Linked DNA regions of Arabidopsis thaliana. The protein of the gene in region 1 interacts with the protein of each later gene in a pairwise test. Each region holds a gene or a part of one and is shown on either strand. Other genes may lie near its edges. The genes, in order: SPA4 and PAP1.

Region 1 (6,074 bases):
CTATCGCACGCATTCGTGGAGTATATCATATACGGTTGGGACAATTTACCAAGAACTTTACTCATGTACTACACCAATTTCGTTTCTTCTCCTGAAGGTTACTTCCATACAGTCATATGTAACGTGCCTGAGTTCTCCAAAACCGCGGTGAACCATGATCTTCACTACATCGCATGGGACAAGCCACCGAGGCAGCATCCTCGTATGTTGTCTCAAAGAGACATGGGAAAGATGATTTCGAGCGGATCTGCATTTGGTCGGAAGTTCAGAAGAAATGATACTGTTTTGGATAAGATTGATAAGGAACTGCTTATACGGATAAACGAAGACGGTTTTACTCCAGGCGGTTGGTGCGGTGGGAAACCAGAGTGCTCGGTTGTCGAAGATGTGGCTAGGATCAGGCCTAGCTCAGGGGCTGTGAGGCTCAAGGAGCTTGTAGATAGGTTAGTTACAGAGGCTAAATTAGGTAAGAATCAATGTGTATAAAGAATCAAGCAGCTTGGAGAGAATCTTGCAGTTCTATACACACCACAGCTTGATTGTATAATTCTTTTGAAGTAAATAATTATTACTTGTATGTTAAGTTGCCCACCTGTGTCATTAGGGTTTACAATAAGTACTATACAACAAATAGAAAGATATCATATATTTTTTCTATATACACAATTCTTTAGTAGCAACAATATTGTTTTCACTTTTCCTACTTTCTCTCCCAAAAATTGTTTCCTATACCAATCCAAACCCTGGAATATTACCATTTTGCTTCTGAGCCACTTTATATTGGTTCATACCATCTCCAAAATCTTGATATTGCCGGTGGAGTTTGCAGCAACTAAGGTCGACGACTGTCCCCGCCAGCAGACTGAGGATATGAACTGCGAGGCATCGTCTACTTCGAGTTCCGACACAGGGTCTATAGTTTTGAACTTGTACGACAAAACCGGCATTGGAAATGCCTTGTGGTACACAAAAACCTGTCCAGTGAAGCACACGAAATTCACGGTTTTTATTGACAAATGGGATCAACAGTTCTTCTTTTGTATATTTATGAAGTGAGAGTAGACATACCTCGTTAGTCTCAGAGCCTGTTGCTATATACCCGTCAGAGACTGATAATCCAACAAAGTTCTACACACAATGCAAGAACAGAAATGTATTTGTAATCTCATAAAGCAAACTTGAAATGAAGCAATAGAAACGAATCTCGAAAAAAATATACCTTAACATTAGTGTGTCCCATGAATGAGTGAAGAGGCGTTTCATTAATACCGGAAATAGACATTGATAAGTCCCATAGCTTCAGCGTGTTATCCGTCGAAGAAGAAACAAGTGTTGATGAATCTACAAATCTAACATAACTCACGGTCTTGTGGTGACCAATCATTGTGCAAAGAGGAAGCTTGGGGTTCCTTAGATCATAGTAGTAAACTTTGTGATCTGCTGAGCCAAATGCTAAAGACCGACCCGTCTCTGATGGAAACTGAACACAACATATGTTTGCCTTTGTCTTGATGGTTCCAATACTAACCCCCTGAAACAGAGGAAAACGAACTCAACCGTTAAAAACACATCCCTCAAAAGAACTATTCTCGCATTTCCGAGCATAAATACGTTTTGGTTTAGTTTCGAAGTTTGCCTGATTGATACTCCAGAGCTTAACCGAACCATCATCACTACCACTAGCTAACAATGTTGGATCTGCTGATGAATAATCGATGGACCATACACGCTTCTCATGCTCCTTCATCTCTGTAACCAACTGGTTTCTTGCAACATCCCAAACCTATGAAAATATTAGCCTTAGTTATAAGATTTTTTTTCATACTTTTCATTGATTAATAAGGTTGAGAGTTTTCTTCTGAACTTACTTGAACCACGCCTTCAAAGTTACTTGATGCGACTTGGCTCTTAATGTAACTGTTCCAACATATACCACTAAGCTTAGACCGGCTAGCAAGTTCCACAACAGGGTAATGAATGTCCCGGCCATCTTTTATTATCGACTCGCATTCGAATATCTTGATCTTTTTGTTGACGCCTGCCGTGGCGAAAAACTCTCCATCACGATCAAACCCAATTGCGCAAACAAGGTTAGACGAGTTCAACAAGTCTCCTTGCTTCAAATCTGCTTTCACTCTTAGCTTACTAAAAGACAAATACTTGCACAAACCCTCGAGGAATGGATCGATCCACCCGCCTTGTCTAGAATCATTGATAGGATCTTTTGATGGTTGGCTCATTGAACTCTTTTCTGAACTTCTACCGTTACAACTCAATGCCGAATAATATCTAGCCAACGGTTTTTCAGCAGCAGTAGCAGCCTTGATTTGTCTGTATCGTGTTGCAAAGTAGACTGATTCCAGTTTCTTCAAATTTCTCATTAATCTAGAGCTTTCAAGAAGTGTACTTTCTAGAGTATCATCAAGCTTAGATTCCTCATCAATGCTATTATCATCATTTTCTTCCTCTGCTGCAGTGGTCTCAGCTCCTTGTCTAATCCGTTTTCTTGAGGCTAAGAACGAACGGACATCTCTCCCTTTTTGCTGTAAAACCAACTGTCGCTTTACGACTTGATCGATATCAGAAGAGAGAAGCGATATTGTATCCTGCAATTTGTCTGCAGCTTCTTGTTTCCTCTGTTGAATCAGAAACAAGAACTCGAGTAATAACTCTTGTTCCTCGATTCTATCCCGTAGCTCCATTGCAGCTTCACGTTCTTCCAAATTCTCTCTAGGTTCGTTGATAAACTCACTTTGTAGCAACTCACTGCAAAAGTAAAGACAAAGGAGACAATACTCTTAATTAAAGGACAAAACTTTTCCAATTGAAACTAAAAACATCAAAGAGAGAATCAATCATCACCTCATCGATGGTCGACAGCTAGGCTCAGGATGCAGTAACCACAAGCAAAAGGAAGCTTCTTTAGGCCAATTGAGTAATATCTGAGGGGGAAGAACACGATGTCTTAAACTAGACATAGTTCTTGACTTCTCTTCTCTTGAGGAGACAGGGCAGAATAGCTGCACAAAGACTAACATTCATCAAATCAGTTTTCTCAAGAAAACAAAGCAGTTAAGAACAAAAATCAAATCTTCTTACGCACAAACCTCAAAGAGAAGAACACCAAGACGGTAAATATCAGAAGCACAATTACACAGAGAACCATTATCTTCTTCATGACTTGTATACCAACTCATCTCCATTGCTAATATCTGTTTCATAGGGAAAGGTTGCTTCTTTACTTCCTCTTGTTGTTTGCTTCGTCTCTCTGATAGAATCTCCTCTTGTCTCGAGCTACCAATCTCTCGAGACTTTGTTGTTGCATCCTCATCAGACCCGGAATCCGAACAAGAAGCGGATTCGATAAACGAAACATTGTTAAACGAAGACATAACGAAACAAGAAGGCCTAACATTATGAACAACAATGCCTTGAGAGTGAGCTGCATTAACAATCTCAACAATCTGTCTGAAAACATGAAAACACTCAAAGGCATCAACGGATCGGTCTGGATTGTCTAACCACTGACGCAAGCTAACATCCTCACATTCCAAAGCTCTGACAATAGAGTCATCATCAAGTCCTCCCAAGTTAGCTTCTTTATGTGAACCAAGTAAGCTTCTGACATAATCAATGTGAGACAAAGACTTAGAACCATCTGTACAAAACTCTGAAACACCAGAGGTGTTGTTTAATCCTCTGGAACTAGATTCTGAAGAACCCTTCATTGATTACCAAACAAACTCCTCTGGATTCTGCAATACTTCATTTCATGATCCCAGCCCAAAAGCCCTAAGTTAGAATCGAAATAAAGTAAAGAAATTTAGAACGAAAGTTAAGATTTTTAAAAGACCCTTTGACAGAAAACACCAAAACCAGAAAATATATTCGAATAAAAATGCAACCTTTGATTACATAAAGAGACAAACACGAGGAAGCTTCTTGACCACTAAACTCTCTCTATATATAAAAGAAAAGCGAAGAAGAAGATAAGAAGAAGAAGAAGTACTTGAGAGACTAAGAGGCACCGAAGAAACGATCCTTTTTTGAGAACCACACATCGCAAAAACTGAGTTCGTAGAAAAGCAATAATCAGATTCATAAAAATTAAATTCTCGGCTAAGAGAAATCTATTTTGGGCCTACGATTTTTACTTCACAGTGAGGGTTTTATTTTTCGCTTTTTGATAATCTTCACTTCTCTTCTCTTTCCACGCAAGCAACGTGGTTAAACGACGACCTAGGAATCAAAAGAACGTAAAGCTAAAACCTTTTTCGTATTTTGGTTTTGGGCCATATATGTAAATATAAGTAAACCATGAGGTCAAAGTGAATTTTGTTCTTTTTTGAAGTGACCAATTTTCTTCAAGAGGAATGTTTAAATTATGTTGTGGTCCAAATAATATAACACATTTTTGTAAGGCTATAATAGGAATTTAAAATGACCAAAATAATTTTTGAATAACATATTTGAAGCCTTATTACAAGAGAAAGTACCTAAAGAAATGATTGTACTTTGAAAATCTTGAATGAGAAAAACAAAATTGTTTGTATTATTGGTTTTGGTGAAAGGAAAGAGAATGTATTGGTGGGAGCATTTAATAACCAGAGGGGAGTTTCCATTTCCATGGAATGGATTGAGACAAGTCGACAACGTAAGTGGTAAATTACAAAATCACATGCGTCCGGACACGCCACGTGTTTTTTCTTTTTCTATGATTAGATTACATACACAAATTTATCAATGAAAAAAAAAAAAAAACTCTGTTTTTTTATTGAAACCAAACCATCTGAAATGTAATGCAAGATTTTTGTAGAAAATGATACGACCTAGAAACTGTGATAGCTTTAACCTTATATATCGTGGATTTGTCAATATTTTAGTTTTAAATTTTAGTAATATCTTTTAAAAACTTATGTTAAGAAACTTGTGACATGAACAAACTGATTCAATTTGATGAGGACGATGACCACAATACCACGTGGTTGTGCTTTGGCTTTTAACGAGTCTTTATTTATACAAAATCAATGATGCATGTCCAAGAAGATCATTGACGGTGATGGTCCGGGACAGTGTGCATGTTTTCTTCTCAGGATTTTTTTTAATGGTTTAATCGATCAAAGTAATTTTAAATTTGATTTTGACATTTTATACGTACTCTCTTTTTAACCACTTTTGAATAAAAATCAAGAGAAAATACATAATTGTTAAACCGGTAACAAACATAAATCAAACCAAACAAGACCAAAATCAGAACTAATTGTTTTTGGCGGTGTTCTCAAAACTCCAGCTCCAAATGTCGTGACGCTCGACGCCACGACCCATCGAACCGGAAAAGCCGGTATACATAGTCTCAAGAACCACCTCCGAGAGATCAACTTGTGTTTCGATCAATGGCCTCTTCGGTTTCTTTAAATGCGCAGGTGCAAGCCAAACAATGACTTTACTGTTCTTATACTCAATCCAAGCTTTGTAGTTGTCTCCGCTACTAAGCTTCACTTCCTTAAACAACCATTGATTCTTCCCTCTAGTTCTTGTCTGAATCCAATACCCAGCTTTCTCAGAAACCTTTGAGTTAACAGAGTTAATATTAACACCAACATGATTATCATTAATATCACCAAAACGTTTGTCTTGGAAAACATCGAATTCGACCGCAAAGAGATGGTTATTAGGATTGCCATTGGTTGTGAGGTTAACTAGACCGAGGAAGCCGCGGGTTGAGTCTTGGTCGTACTCGTAGGCTACGGTTGGGACCACGATGAAGGCGATACCATGACCAGGGTTAGGGTTTGACCGTCGAGGAGTGATGGAGAAAGTGAAAGATGTTTTGAAAGAGTAAACAGAAGAAGATGTGTTGTTGGAAGATTTGAATGGGATTGGATCTGTGTAGAGACCTTGACCATGTGAGAATGGAATGTTGTCACGGGTCATGGAGAGAGCTCCGGACCGGCTCATGCCATCGGTTGCTGGTCCTAGCTCGGCGTACCCGATGAAGATTAGATTTGTTCCGTCGAAACGGTTGAAGTTGAATTTGACGGCGGAAATGGTTTTAGAGCTTAACAAAGATATGA
Region 2 (4,171 bases), 1.5 Mb from region 1:
AAGGCCTAAGAGCCCAACACACACAAAAGAAGAACCATTTTGGATCAAGGGAACCGACCATGGGTATTAGAAGTAGTGGTATAAAGCCCATCATATCCCAACACATAACCCACGAATGTTTAATATTAAAAGTTTGTTGTTCGGCTCATGATTAGCGATGATCATACAGAAAGTTTGTATCTAATACGTGCCTTGAATTTTATGTGTACAACAAACAAATTAAATTATTCAAAACCATAAATTATAAAAAATAATTACAGAAATAAAACTATATTAAGAGCGAGCCTACCATCCGGTGTGCAACTTTCTAGTTTATATACAGTGGCGGATCAACGTTAATGAGGCAAATTGGTTCAAATTCATCTAAATAAGACTAGAGTTCACAGGTTCGATTCCTCCTTATAACAATTTGCTCCCACCAATTTTTTTTGCTGGGTCCGCCCCTGGTTATATATATACTTCTACACCAGGTTTGGGTTCGAGTCCACACATAATTAACGACACAATTATAGTGCACGATAGAATGAACTAAAACAGCTAGAGCGTAGAGGGCTCATTGTCTATAAAAATCCTTCGTTAACTTGCAAGAAACCAAGAGTAGAGGGCTCACACTTAAGTCTCCTACATGACGATTATATTTCGTCAAAAAGAAGCAATTAGTTAGCTTTACAGCATATCATTTCGCCTAGGTTTTCCATCGTACACGTAAATTTTCATGCAAGAAAGCAGAAATATACAAATACTAACTTTTAGATACTGAAAAATGAGATCAGATTCTAGTCAAATTTTGTTAAAAGTATTTATAAATTTAAATTGCAAGTCCTCAAAAAGTACGACTAAAAATGCTTTTCTTAGAAAATGATAATAAACCGGCGTTTTATATATAAGTGTTTCTTTTTCTCTTCTGTCCAGAAGTAAATCATTAAGAACCAATATGGCTTTTCTTAAACTAATCTCCGTGATAATCAAATCTTTGATCATTCTCCACACAATCCCATCAACAACATCGATCTCACTAGATGCACCAACAATGATTCTAATCGGCACTACTAACTATAGAGATAGTTGTCCCAAAAAAAAAAAAAAAAACTAACTAGAGAGATAAATCATATTCAATACATGTACTATTTCTACTATACTTAAGAAAATTTGTATACCACTATCTTAACTCTTAACACTGAACATACTATACACTATCTTAACTCCCAACTCTTGTAAAAGAATATCTAATTTTAAGAAAAGACTTCAAATGCTTGTTAAATTTCTAGTGAAGATGCACATTCTAAAAACTGGTAAAATGGTAAGAAAAAAATATATAAAAAAATAGCCTTATTAAAATTTATATCTCCTATTTCTCTATCCAAACTACACGGATGAAGCTTATTGTTATTCATCCACCCTTTTTCTCAATTCTGTCCTATTTCTTGTGCATGAAACTTCTCCATCTTGTAATCGGATAAATCATACCCAAATTTTTTCTTTCTGAAAACATATATACCCGAACATTAATTACTATCGTCCTTTCTCCTAATTTTGTTAAGAAACATGTTTGTTTGTTTTTAGTACTGAAAAAGGATGGAGATACTTGCTAGATCCTATGAACCTTTTCTCTCTAGGACAAATCAGTAACCAAACAATAACTTAGCAAATTAAGCACGACAGCTAATACATAAAATGTGGATATCAAACATGCACGTCACTTCCTTTTTTCCGTCACGTGTTTTTATAAATTTTCTCACATACTCACACTCTCTATAAGACCTCCAATCATTTGTGAAACCATACTATATATACCCTCTTCCTTGACCAATTTACTTATACCTTTTACAATTTGTTTATATATTTTACGTATCTATCTTTGTTCCATGGAGGGTTCGTCCAAAGGGCTGCGAAAAGGTGCTTGGACTACTGAAGAAGATAGTCTCTTGAGACAGTGCATTAATAAGTATGGAGAAGGCAAATGGCACCAAGTTCCTGTAAGAGCTGGTATGTTATTTACGAACACACACACACTAACCGACACACACACACACAAATATGAATATCTATAATCACTACCAATAGTCTTCGTTCTCTCTATTTTCTATTCAGAAAATTGATTAATACCCGGTATTAAAAAAAAAAAAAAAAATTTGTTTAAATGAGTACAAATCATTGTTACAACTTCTTTATGCTGTTTTTACATGCTATTAAAGGTTGTGCATGAAAATTTCTTTTGCTGTTCGTATTTGTTTTACACCTAAACGAAGATTTTTACTTAAAATTAAAGAAAAAAAATTATACTAATTTTAGTTACGTTGCGTATTGCTAGCTTCTCCTATAAAGTCGTTCAAATTTTTACACGCTTGTCTTCTTGTAAATGAATTCGTGGGAAAATTTTGTATGAACACGTGTTTCTGTGTTGGAACAGTTCTTTATTTTTATTGGTGTGCATAGATTCTTCCTGATAAAATATATAGAAGGAGACAAATAAAAAACAGTCTTAGTATGTAGGTATAATCAAAGAATCAATTATTGGTTTTGTAGGGCTAAACCGGTGCAGGAAAAGTTGTAGATTAAGATGGTTGAACTATTTGAAGCCAAGTATCAAGAGAGGAAAACTTAGCTCTGATGAAGTCGATCTTCTTCTTCGCCTTCATAGGCTTCTAGGGAATAGGTATTAATTGTTACCTCGATACTACTTAACTCGGAGAGTCGTCATAAGTTAATACTAATAACATATGTATATTTTCTTACAATTGTTAGGTGGTCTTTAATTGCTGGAAGATTACCTGGTCGGACCGCAAATGACGTCAAGAATTACTGGAACACTCATCTGAGTAAGAAACATGAACCGTGTTGTAAGATAAAGATGAAAAAGAGAGACATTACGCCCATTCCTACAACACCGGCACTAAAAAACAATGTTTATAAGCCTCGACCTCGATCCTTCACAGTTAACAACGACTGCAACCATCTCAATGCCCCACCAAAAGTTGACGTTAATCCTCCATGCCTTGGACTTAACATCAATAATGTTTGTGACAATAGTATCATATACAACAAAGATAAGAAGAAAGACCAACTAGTGAATAATTTGATTGATGGAGATAATATGTGGTTAGAGAAATTCCTAGAGGAAAGCCAAGAGGTAGATATTTTGGTTCCTGAAGCGACGACAACAGAAAAGGGGGACACCTTGGCTTTTGACGTTGATCAACTTTGGAGTCTTTTCGATGGAGAGACTGTGAAATTTGATTAGTGTTTCGAACATTTGTTTGCGTTTGTGTATAGGTTTGCTTTCACCTTTTAATTTGTGTGTTTTGATAAATAAGCTAATAGTTTTTAGCATTTTAATGAAATATTTCAAGTTTCCGTGTTTACATTTTGAAGAAAATAAAATATTAATATATTCTGAAGATTTTTGTTTTTTTTTGGTTATCTACATGACAACAGTAAAAATAGAAAAAAAATCTTATTTTTTGAAAAAGGTATGTATCCGGTGTTTAGAATACTTTCCGAAATCAAACCGCCTATATTTCTAATCACTATGTAAAATTGTAAACCAATTGGGTTAAAACTCAACTAACAAACTTTCTAAATAAATGTCATTTTTGTTTTCAAATATGATTGAACTCGGATTTAGGAGTTTTACCCTTCAGTACCAAACCTTCTCTACCGACCATGTATGGTTGGGCAAATGTCATGTTTTACAATGTTTAGATTACTAAACACTTTGGTTGAGAAGGCAATGCTTTATTTATATATTCTGAAGTCATGTTTTAGTGTTATTTTTATTTATTTTTAAATGCATAGATTGTTAACGTGCAGATTCTCATATGGGCTTAGTTTCTGGATTTTGATTATCAAAACCGTATTCCACTCTTAAATGATTACGACAAAAAAATCAATACTACTAACAAACCTATTTCCCAGTTATTAATTAGTCAATAACAATTGTCAAATTTAATAACGTACTTGCTAGTAATAAAGTTTTAACGACGATCATAGATAGGTTTTTGAAACCCATACTCGCAGAAGTTCTGATACAAAAATTTGTACTCCCTCTATTTCAAAATATTAAATGTTTTAGATAAAAGCACAATGTTTAAGAAACTAATTAATCTTGAGTTTCTTACATTATAAACATAAATTAATATCTATTAAAAATAATTTGACCAATGATATAACT

What was found.
Region 2: the proteins of SPA4 (region 1) and PAP1 interact in a two-hybrid assay, tested with the Arabidopsis thaliana proteins (one study listed by BioGRID).

The regions. Positions count from the first base shown.
Region 1 is NC_003070.9:19,781,402-19,787,475, reverse strand, and holds SPA4 (SPA1-related 4), read right to left. Parts: upstream 4,292-6,074; 5' UTR 3,906-4,291; exon of another isoform or gene 3,793-3,905; 5' UTR 3,729-3,792; coding exon 3,108-3,728; intron 3,032-3,107; exon of another isoform or gene 3,021-3,031; coding exon 2,863-3,020; intron 2,767-2,862; coding exon 1,869-2,766; intron 1,784-1,868; coding exon 1,637-1,783; coding exon of another isoform or gene 1,612-1,636; intron 1,532-1,611; coding exon 1,220-1,531; intron 1,129-1,219; coding exon 1,069-1,128; intron 975-1,068; coding exon 786-974; 3' UTR 574-785; downstream 1-573. Other genes in the region: AT1G53100 (Core-2/I-branching beta-1,6-N-acetylglucosaminyltransferase family protein), read left to right, coding at 1-486; AT1G53080 (Legume lectin family protein), read right to left, coding at 5,257-6,074. UniProt on the Arabidopsis thaliana protein: Repressor of photomorphogenesis in the light. Probably part of the COP1/SPA E3 ubiquitin-protein ligase complex.
Region 2 is NC_003070.9:21,232,784-21,236,954, reverse strand, and holds PAP1 (production of anthocyanin pigment 1), read left to right. Parts: upstream 1-1,662; 5' UTR 1,663-1,865; coding exon 1,866-1,986; intron 1,987-2,526; coding exon 2,527-2,656; intron 2,657-2,745; coding exon 2,746-3,241; 3' UTR 3,242-3,400; downstream 3,401-4,171.